3 linked regions of the Daphnia pulex genome follow. Each later gene encodes a partner of the first gene's protein in a complex. Links are inferred from orthologs where the notes say so. Each region holds a gene or a part of one and is shown on either strand. Other genes may lie near its edges.

Region 1 (2,771 bases):
CCAATATGGTAGTGAAACAACGGGACGCGTTGGCCTTGTGATAACCGCCTCCGCCAAGGTACAAAGTAGGTAATTTGTAACTCTGGATGACAGCGGTGCAGCGGGCGTATGCAACGGGTGTCAAGTTAAATGTCCCTAATGGATCGTTAGCTAGGCCATCTGCTCCACATTGACATACAATTGCTTCCGGACGAAAACGTTTCATTACTTCCTGGAAAACTCTTTTGTCACAGATGAATGAATGATGATGAACCACATTGTAGGTTTTAAGGAGACAAAAGAAAATTTATACGTTTGAAAGACGTGGATGAAAGTTTCATCGCAAGCCCCATCTCTGAGTGGAACATTGCATGAATAGTTGCGACCCCTGCCGAAACCAGTGTCGTTGACTGAACCTGTACCCGGAAAATATCCTTCTTCATGTTTATGTAACGATAGCGTAAACACTTTGCGGCTGTAAGCGAAAGCATTTTCAACTCCGTCTCCTTAAATAAATAAAAATGGGTTTGTATCAATCCTTGTATACATTTACACTGAAAAAGGGTTGGACTTACCGTGGTGAATATCCAAGTCAATATAAAGTACGAGTTTGAATTTTCTTTCCAATTCTAGGATGGCAAGAACACCTGAAAATCCAATAGTTTTACCTTGTGTTTTCATTATAAAAATATTAAATTATTGTACAGTCATTGATGTAGCAGAATCCTGATGCACAATCTCTCTGAGCGTGATGCCAGCCTCCACAGAAATTTACTGCCACATCAACAGATCCAGAAACAAGTGCTTTGGCTCCTGCTACAGATCCACCAGCTATCACAGAGATAAAGTCATCAAGCTTGTCAAGTGGGGGGCAGTCAAATCCTTGATTAGATTTTAATGTGATAAATTAACATTTCCATTACATGTTTCCATATTCATATTACCTAAACCATATTCCTCACTGGATTCATCCTCTACATCCACATCACCTTTGAGGAATTCAATGTAATCGGCAGAATGAAATCCTTGAAAGACGTCATCATTAACTTTATCACAGTTTAAAAGCAAGACATGATCTAAGAGTCCATAAGATTCCAGCAAATGATGAACTAATGAGGCCTGAAAAGAAACAAAGCAAAAGTGAGATCAAAATACGTTATATGTACTATTGAAAGTTAGTTGTACATAATGCTTAAGTATGTCAAAATTTAACTGTGACATTTTTTAGTGGTGAATGGAAAAAAAATGTTACCCTGTTCTTCAGGTTTGGTACTCTATTACATTGATGAATTAATTCCGGTGAATATACATAGCCAATTTTAGATTTAGGGGGACATTTTATGATTTTTTCCTCGTTATCATCACAGCTCTTTTTTTCGTCCGGCAGTATACCCGCCATTTGAATAACGTTGTCTGCACCGCCACGTTCACTAGCGACATGGCGGACAATAAAGAAACCCGAAATTAAATGGCCGCCAGCATCGCCTGAACAACAAAAGAAAAGGGCGAAATTTTGGCTTGTAAAATGACTAAAAATACATCCAGCTCCGATTTACGATCTGAACTTTCTGACCTCGTCAAACGAAGAATCGAAGTCGCCGTAAGAATGAATTCAAATTTAACCTTAAAAACTGCCTACTTCATTGTTTATATTTGTGTTTTGTAGGAAACCCTAGCCAACTTGGAAAGACAAATTTATGCATTCGAAGGTAGTTACCTGGAAGATACACAGCTTTACGGAAATATTATTCGAGGATGGGACCGTTATTTAAACAGTACTAGCAAACTGTCAAACCCTTCATCTGACAAAAGGAACAGGAAATTCAAGGAAAATGAAAGACTTTTCTCCAAGTCTTCAATTACTTCTATGGCGGTAGAATTGCATGACACTTCTACTGAATTAACAGAAATAAAATTTCTTTCAAACCTAGGCTGTGAGCGGGATCATTGATCTGAATTCTGAGAGAGCAGAACGAAGCAGTGAAACTGAATCACAAGCAGGAATGAGTGGAAGTGACGAAAACAGCAGAGATTTTCTCGGTTTAGAGGGGGTCAATGGTGATAAGTTAGGAAAAGTTTCAAAATCCAGACATATAAATAAAAGAGGGAGCAAGAAGTCAAAACTGAAATAATTTCATATTCACTGTTCATTTTCCTATTCTCTATAACATGGTTTCGTGAATGCCCTTATGAATGTACCTTCCTAAGTGTTAAACAAACTTTATGTCTGTGTGTCAATTTTCTGGTTTTCTGAATAAATGCTCGAATTAAACATTCCAATGTTCTCGCAATTCATTTTCCGATTCAGACTTATTACGTAAATATGTTTCATCCTTCTATCGCCAGATGGATTTGAAAGCTCATTTGCTCCTCCCCCTCTCTTCCTTCTCTTGTTGTCACATGATCAGATGATTCTTGTCAAAATTCGGTAACCACACACTAAACCCTCTTACGAACCCTATTCGTTTGTATTGTATTATTCAGATCCAGTTTTAATCACACAATGTCGGGAAAAGACAAAATTGCCATTTTTCCTTCTCGAGGGTATGTCATATTTATCTTTAAGACGATTCAGTTGTAATTTAGAACATATTAGAGCTCAATAACAACTTTCAAGTTTTTGGTTTAATTCCTTTCTCTTGACACAATCAGAGCACAGACTTTGATGAAACATCGGCTTGCCGGTGCACAGAAAGGCCATGGTCTTCTTAAAAAGAAGGCAGATGCTCTTCAAATGAGGTTCCGCTCAATCCTGAAAAAGATCATTGATGTAAGTTGAAAAGGAATTAAGT
Region 2 (3,664 bases), on another chromosome or scaffold:
GAAACCAAATATATTACTTGACTTGGGTTTGGCTGCACTGTGATCTTTAGCCCACTTGATAAAGCTTTTCTGGATACTTCCAGCCGTTCTTTATATTTCTTATACTTTCTCATGGCTTTGTCAGATATAAGAGTGCTATTGTGAACAAGATTCAAACCTCGGTTTTTAGCAAAATCAGACGCTCCTTCTCCTACTAGAACACTAAAAAAAAGGCTGTGTTAATTTAACCACTCATTTTAAGTGATGCAAATGGTATTTTGAATTACAGTGGAGGTGTTCTACCAAGAAGTCTTGGTTCATTCTGGTATAAAATGATTTCTTTGGCTACCATTATAGGATTTTTAATACTTTTAAGTGATGAGACTGCTCCAAATCGTGTGTTTCTTTGATGTTTCAAAGACAACATGATTCCTGCATCACATTCAACTTCACCGCTCTCAGTGAGATTGGAGCCATATCCTGCATTAGTTAGTGGTGAATCTTCTAATATGCAAACCAATTCACACGTAACATCTAGTGCAGATTTTCCTTCTTGCAATAAAGCTGCTCCCTGGGAAAAACTTATCAAGTCAAACTATGAAACCATGAATCACTAATAGAAAGCCATGCCTTTTCACACGTTATTTTGCAAAGTTTTTTGTAAATAGCTTCAGATTTTGAACTATGGCAGCCTGCTCCAAGATGAATAGCAACAAATCCATACTGTGACATTTTTGCACTTTTATGGTTTAAATTTTGTCGAGAATTTTCATAACCGAAATTTCATTTTACAATTTGAAATGGGACTGATCGGTCCAGTTTGTGAGAGAGCTAGCAGAAGACTACCATTTCCAACCGGCAAAAGCGGCAATGTCGCTCATGGCCGCGCACTGTTGTTTTGAAAGCTTTTTCTCTAATGAAGACCGAACAGTCATTGTCAAAAATGAAAGAAGAGATTGTAGATAAAGATCTGTTTTCAGATTCAACTGTATGAATTTTTACATTATTTCATTAGAAACCATGTTTAATTTTGTTTATTCTATTATCTAGGCATCTGTTGTTGAAGGCTGTCGGTTGCCTGTACGGATGAGAAACACCGAAGACTGGCGTAACATTTGTTGCTTTGTTATCATTTTATAGATTTGAAAGTTTAATTGTGGTTTTTCTTTTGTTATCATTTAGCTCTAGCCGAAGTACTCAGTGTCAAAGATATCTGCAACATCAGGATGTTTTATGTCCATTACATCGACTGTAAGTTTTGTATATGCTATGTTTAACGATACATCATCTTACAAAATTTTTAATTCAACTCTAGTCAACAAACGACTTGATGATTGGGTCTCAGAAGATTTCTTAGATACGAGAAAAATTCAGTTTCCTAGAAAAGATGGAACTCAAGTAGGCACAGGCATGAGTACTCCTAAAAAAGTTGGAGGAACAACTGGTTCTTCCCGTCCTTCTTCCCCACTAGCTGCATCCAGTGCATCAGACCTTACTGTCAATGGGTCTGCTCTACTGGCTGCAGCAATACAAAAGAGAAATGGAAGAAAACGTAAAATTGGAGAAAAAGAAGAGCCCAGTCCAGGATCCATTATTCCAATCCCACCTGCCAAGAAACTTATAAGTAAAGTTATTTTATTTCATTAATTCTTTACATTTTTCATAAATTCTTTTAAATTTTATTTTTATAGAAATTGAAAAAGAATTACCAGCAATCCCCACTCTGCCACCCACCGTAGTTAGCGATAGTTGTGCTGTTCCTACAAGTAATTAGTCATTTTTTCTACAATCTATTTATTATATATAAATGATTATTAAAACTAAAATTTTCTGCATAGGTGATTCAGTTTGTGAGGTAGGAGATGCTAACTCTCCGGCCCCACCGTCCACCCCTGCACCGACTACACCAGGGCCACGTCAGTCGGGCAGTCTTGTTACACATCACGATGACGTTGTAACACGAATGAAAAATATTCAAATGATTGAACTCGGCAGACACAGAATAAAACCTTGGTATTTCGCACCCTACCCTCAGGTATGTCATCATCTAACGAACGTAAAGATCCGAAATGTTTACTATTCTTTTTCAAAAATTAGGAAATGGTTCACCAAGCTTGTATTTACATATGCGAGTTTTGTCTCAAGTACCGGAAAAGTGAAAAATGTCTAGAACGTCATCTGGTAATTTAAAATTTTACGATATATTTTTAATTGGATGATCAACCCTTAAACTTTTTCTACAGATGAAGTGCAATCTTAGACATCCGCCAGGCAATGAAGTTTACCGCAAACAGACAATTTCTTTTTTTGAAATCGACGGCCGTAAAAATAAAGCATACGCTCAGAACCTATGCCTGCTAGCGAAACTGTTCCTTGATCACAAGACACTGTATTACGACACTGATCCGTTCCTCTTTTACGTCATGACTGAAGTGGATGCACGAGGTTTTCATATCGTCGGCTACTTTAGCAAAGAGAAAGAAAGCTCGGAGGACTACAATGTCGCCTGCATCTTAACATTACCACCCTATCAACGGAAAGGATATGGAAAACTTCTTATTGAATTCAGTGCGTACAGAATCGTAAACCCAAGGGGAAATATTTTTTTAAAACCATTTTTGTTTACGTAAAGGTTACGAGCTGTCCAAGTTCGAAGGCAAAACGGGCTCGCCAGAAAAACCTCTGTCCGATTTAGGGTTGCTGTCTTATCGCAGTTACTGGGCTTTTACAATCTGTGATATTCTGATGAATATGAAACCATCCAGTGAAGGTGAACGTCCTCAAATTACCATCAAGTAAGTGATGTAAATTACTTCATTCTAGAGCTCACGTTGACAAACGAATTCGTTTTAATTTAAATAGCGAAATTTGCGAAATGACGAGCATTAAAAAAGAGGACGTGGTGTCCACCTTACAGCATTTGAACCTCATCAATTACTACAAGGGGCAGTACGTACTCATTCTGAACGAAGAAGCGATGAAAAATTGCATAAAAAACAAAGAGAAATGGAAATTACACATCGATCCCAAATGCTTGCACTGGACACCGAAAGACTGGTCCAAAAGAGGGAAATGGTGATGAGATCGCACCTACAATCCATTCCGCGATCTTGCTACTTCTTTGCTTTTTTTTAAAAAATACACTCACAATTTCTATGTACAAGAATTCCAAATTCAAATGTCCTGTTTCTCTTGGTTATTCTTGTCTGTTACGACAACAGCTTCACGGTTCTCGTATGTCCAAAATCCATCCAAATCAATCAAGATATTGATCACAGTTTCACCGTATCCACTGAGCCAGAAAACGTTCAATGACAATCTTATTCTAAAAAAATTCTAAATGAACTTTGTGTGTTACCAGTTAATCAAATCATGTAAAGTGATTTTTGACGGATCGGCAGGACGCACCATATCGAAAATCTCATCATTGACGTCGTCAAAAGCAACGACTTCTTGTTTGTGCTGCTGCATCAACTCTTGAACCCCCTGCAAAGCATTTTTTTTTTTTTCAAGATAAGAAAGTCAAAAGGTCAAATGAGGAAATTAATACTTTGAAGTAAAAATGGAGGTCAAAAGTGTTGAGATGGTTTCGATGATTGACGTCCAACAAACGGAAAAAATACTGAAGTGCTTGTGGTTCCTTTTTATTGTCCATGGCCAATACGAAATCCAAGTACGTTTTATA
Region 3 (3,757 bases), on another chromosome or scaffold:
GTAGTGGGTATCAATTTACGCTACTCCGGTCGCCCAGTATTGGCAGCTCCTGCTGTCGGGGTTTCAGCCATTCACAAAGTCGAAGCTGCCAATTTAATGAAAGATATTTTTTCTAGTTAAACCTGTTTTGCATTCTCAAAGTACATTATTGCTACGCTTTTTCTTTTTTAACTAATGATGTAAGCTTACAGTTGGTGCTTGATATTTTAAAAATTTATTTGCGGAAGTTAACTACATACAATGATATTAAGGGGATTAGGAAAATAAATAAACGTTAATTGCTCAATTCCAAAAAGAGTCTGAATCGTCGTCGCCTACATTTCTGCCACTTAGCGGACCAGATATGGGATCATCAGCACCATCGGACTCGGAATCTAAACAGAAAGGCTTTATTTTTTGTGGTGATTGATGTGGGGAAACGTGTTGAGCGGCTTCATCACTAATAACTGTTTCCATAGGTTGTAGCTTCCGGAAATCTTCGTCGTTGCTGCCTTTCTGAGATTCATCGTAAGTAGTAATAGGATTTGCTGCCGGGATTTCCGTTACGCTGCTCAAAGGAGTTTTGAGTTCGATGGTTGTTGTAAGTTTGACATCTTTTTCTTGTTCCAAGTTATTCTCAAGGACTCCAATTGATTCTTCTTTTAATAATTCCAAATTTGACACAGCAATAGAAGGTTGATTTGGATAAGATTTTCTTTGCTTTGCAATGACATTGGGAGTAGAACTACTTGGTGGAATAAAATCATCCACTTGTGGAGATGCAACAATATTTTGAGCTGGCTGTTGAAAGTCTGGAACTGAAGTCGTCAGGGGATGTTTATCCTGAATATGGCCTTGATGATGACTCAATGATTCATTTTGAAGTGCTGAATGACTATTTGAAACTTTGCTATCTCTAGTTTTATTGAGACTCTCTAAAGTATCTTGAGAATGAGGCACAGCAAGTGTAGAAGAACGAATGTTGAGGTGTGTGCTCTGATCACTTGCAAACTGCTGGGCATCCAATTCAGGGAAAGGAGATGGGGTATGAGGCCAAACACCTTCTTCATGCAAAGAATGTTGCTCTGAAGTTGAAGAGTTATGTGAAGTGTTCATTGCCATTTCTCTTGTGTGTTTTCTGCCGCTGTGACCAGTTAATGGACGTTCAAGTTCAAAGTCTGTCATGTCTATGGCAATGTTTCTTTGAATTTGAGCCCACAGAACAGGATTCTGTTGCATAAGTGTTCTTTCATATTGATTTCTCATCTGTTGGGCAACTTGAGTTTGGGCTACCAAATCAAATGATTTTGCTTCAAATTTCTTTAGTTTCACTAACAATCGACGATTGGACTCTCTTCCTTCTGCATCTTGTTTGCAAAACTGCTGATAAGAATATTTAATGCTTTCGCTAAAGCCTCCGACATTGAAATTCATGACAAACCGGTCACAACACAAACACAACAGCAGTTGAAAATGGCGGATAAATGTGTTGTCAATAAACAAACTAGAGCAGCTTCAAACATAGAGCAGTAACCCTGTCAAAAACTTTGGAGGAGTAAAAGGCAAAATGTCTAGCAAACCTAAAAAAAAGGTGCGTAAATAACGTTATTTAAGATGATTTAGCGTATGAAAGTGATAGATGTGTAATTTTCTTGTAATTAGTTTTCTTAAGAAAGCATTTAAAAAATCCAAATCGTTGTAAAATCGGCAAAATACACAACCTGTTTGGAACCACTAGCCGAATATAATTTCGTGCCAAAACTTTCATTTTACGTTATTGTTGTCGGTTTATTCTTCGTTTTAATGATTTGTTTTTTTATGAAACAGGTGAGCAGCTCAGAAGACACAAGTTCCAGTAGCAGCAGTGATAGCAGTTCATCTTCATCATCATCAGGAAGTGATTCTAGTAGTTCAGATTCTGAAAGTTCACAAGCTTCGGCACCAAAGCAGTGCAATAAAAAAAAAGTGAACCGAACACGAGTGTCCAGCACCAATTCCAGTTCAGATTCTGCTCCCAAGAAAGAAACTCCAGTTAAGAAGGAAGAACCCAAGAAAAAGCAAAATAATGCTCCGACAAAGGCAAAGCCACCCCAGCCATCAAAGAAACCAGCAGCCGCTGCAGTGCCTGCAAAAGCTGTTAAAAAGCCCCCTGCTAAGAACAGCACACCAGTCAAAAAGCAACCTCAACCAAGTTCAAGTGCAACCGTTTCTGAAGCAAGCAACAAAAGTCCTAAACTTCAGCAGAAGATGAGGAGTATTTTCAGCCCTGAAAATAGCAGCATGAGTAGTGATAGTGATGTTCCAACAATTCCCAAGTATTATATCATATGTGTAGTTGTTTTTGTGCAGTTGTGATATTCTCATTATAAAATTACCAGGAAAAGTGCAGTGTTGCAGTCATCTGAAGCATCGGATACAGACACAGAGTCTGGGAATCAGGTCAACCAACCCAAGTCAAAAGGTCCCCGTGCAAGAGTCCAACCAAGACCAGCAGCTAGGAAATCATCTGAAAGTGAAGCAGAGACTAAAACAAAGGGAAAACAACCTGGTAAAATTTTATTTGTGTATTTTTAAATTATTATTTAACGCTTCTACATGATACATAACGATTTTTCAATTGTACAGCGAGGAAATTAACGAGATCTTCCAGTGCCCGAATAAGAAAAAGTAAGCACGTCATTGGTAAAGTTTCCGATTCGGATTCCGAAGTCGAAGTTCCAGTCAGTAACAAATCGAGCAGTGCAACGGGTAAACGGAAACCAGCTGCTGCAAAGGGAAAATCGTCATCTATTGGCAATCGCAAACTTACACCCAAAGAAATCAGCAGCTACAGTGGCAGCGCTCCGTCTTCTCATGAGAGCTGTAACACTCCGTCAGTAGAAGAGAAGAAGTGCCCAATGGCTGGCTGCGATTCCTCAGGTGAAGCTTTTGTAATTAATGATAGAGTTTGGATTTTTTAAATTATTTATTTTGATTGAATAGGTCATTTAAATGGAAAAACTGACCGCCACTTAAGTTTGCAAGCCTGCCCCTCTTATCACAATTTAACCATGTCTGAATGCGCTGCCCTACGTCTCAACGCAGAATCTCAAATCAACCACTGGTCCGCCATTAGTACAAGTAAGTACTTTGAATCATTTTTAATGCAAAGAAATGTATTAATCGCTTACCATTCACCAGATCGACAAGATTTTCATGTTCGAACTCCAAGATCACCGCGATCATCTGGCCCGACAAGTGAACAGTTAAAGGAACAACAAAAAGTACGCCAAGCACGCGCTCAAAAATCTGAACGAAAAGAAATCGATACATCAGCACCAGCCGAGCTGGACGAAAACGCAGAAGATAAGTGGAGAGAAAGAGAACCTAACCTAACCGGCCTCACCTCAGAATACGATCTGGCGTTATTCCGGGCATCCCAGGCTGAAGCCAGCACCAAATATGTGAGTACCCCATGTCTGTCGTATGTAAAACTAAGACTAATTACGCCAATTTTGATAACAGGAGGATGAACTGAAGAGTTTACCATCTGCGGGCGGTTTACGATTCATCGAGATGGGGAGGTTCGAGATGGAAGTTTGGTATCAAAGCCCGTATCCTGACGATTTAGCCCGGCTACCGAAACTCTACCTATGCGAGTTTTGTTTAGTGTATATGCGGTCACGTACCGTGTTGAGACGGCATGCCGCCAAGTGTGTCTGGAGACATCCACCTGGTGACGAGATTTATCGGTAAAGCGGAACATCTACGTTAACTGTGTTACATCTAGTTTTGCCAA

Evidence for each region. The genes of interacting proteins can lie anywhere in the genome.
Region 2: chromatin modification-related protein MEAF6-like (region 1) and histone acetyltransferase Tip60-like share a complex: the UniProt entries of both Homo sapiens proteins name them as parts of the nuA4 histone acetyltransferase complex. The link is inferred for Daphnia pulex from reciprocal best matches to the Homo sapiens genes MEAF6 and KAT5.
Region 3: chromatin modification-related protein MEAF6-like (region 1) and histone acetyltransferase KAT7-like share a complex: the UniProt entries of both Homo sapiens proteins name them as parts of the HBO1 complex. The link is inferred for Daphnia pulex from reciprocal best matches to the Homo sapiens genes MEAF6 and KAT7.

Annotation. Positions count from the first base shown.
Region 1 is NC_060026.1:14,091,049-14,093,819, reverse strand, and holds chromatin modification-related protein MEAF6-like, read left to right. Parts: upstream 1-1,436; 5' UTR 1,437-1,504; coding exon 1,505-1,579; intron 1,580-1,645; coding exon 1,646-1,852; intron 1,853-1,910; coding exon 1,911-2,111; 3' UTR 2,112-2,251; downstream 2,252-2,771. Other genes in the region: histone deacetylase 8-like, read right to left, coding at 1-221, 293-485, 555-626, 685-861, 924-1,098, 1,232-1,378; V-type proton ATPase subunit D-like, read left to right, coding at 2,483-2,523, 2,632-2,749.
Region 2 is NC_060018.1:12,586,564-12,590,227, forward strand, and holds histone acetyltransferase Tip60-like, read left to right. Parts: upstream 1-844; 5' UTR 845-895; coding exon 896-967; intron 968-1,029; coding exon 1,030-1,087; intron 1,088-1,161; coding exon 1,162-1,230; exon of another isoform or gene 1,231-1,294; coding exon 1,295-1,603; exon of another isoform or gene 1,604-1,670; coding exon 1,671-1,745; exon of another isoform or gene 1,746-1,817; coding exon 1,818-2,014; exon of another isoform or gene 2,015-2,076; coding exon 2,077-2,160; exon of another isoform or gene 2,161-2,222; coding exon 2,223-2,547; exon of another isoform or gene 2,548-2,611; coding exon 2,612-2,774; exon of another isoform or gene 2,775-2,841; coding exon 2,842-3,058; 3' UTR 3,059-3,145; downstream 3,146-3,664. Other genes in the region: threonine aspartase 1-like, read right to left, coding at 18-201, 267-550, 610-711; serine/threonine-protein phosphatase 2A regulatory subunit B'' subunit gamma-like, read right to left, coding at 3,154-3,271, 3,338-3,465, 3,530-3,664. UniProt on the Homo sapiens protein: Catalytic subunit of the NuA4 histone acetyltransferase complex, a multiprotein complex involved in transcriptional activation of select genes principally by acetylation of nucleosomal histones H2A and H4.
Region 3 is NC_060023.1:9,594,170-9,597,926, reverse strand, and holds the start of histone acetyltransferase KAT7-like, read left to right. Parts: upstream 1-1,447; 5' UTR 1,448-1,546; coding exon 1,547-1,570; intron 1,571-1,806; coding exon 1,807-2,294; intron 2,295-2,357; coding exon 2,358-2,527; intron 2,528-2,604; coding exon 2,605-2,898; intron 2,899-2,961; coding exon 2,962-3,099; intron 3,100-3,159; coding exon 3,160-3,422; intron 3,423-3,483; coding exon 3,484-3,710; intron 3,711-3,757. Other genes in the region: probable 2-oxoglutarate dehydrogenase E1 component DHKTD1, mitochondrial, read left to right, coding at 1-120. UniProt on the Homo sapiens protein: Catalytic subunit of histone acetyltransferase HBO1 complexes, which specifically mediate acetylation of histone H3 at 'Lys-14' (H3K14ac), thereby regulating various processes, such as gene transcription, protein ubiquitination, immune regulation, stem cell pluripotent and self-renewal maintenance and embryonic development.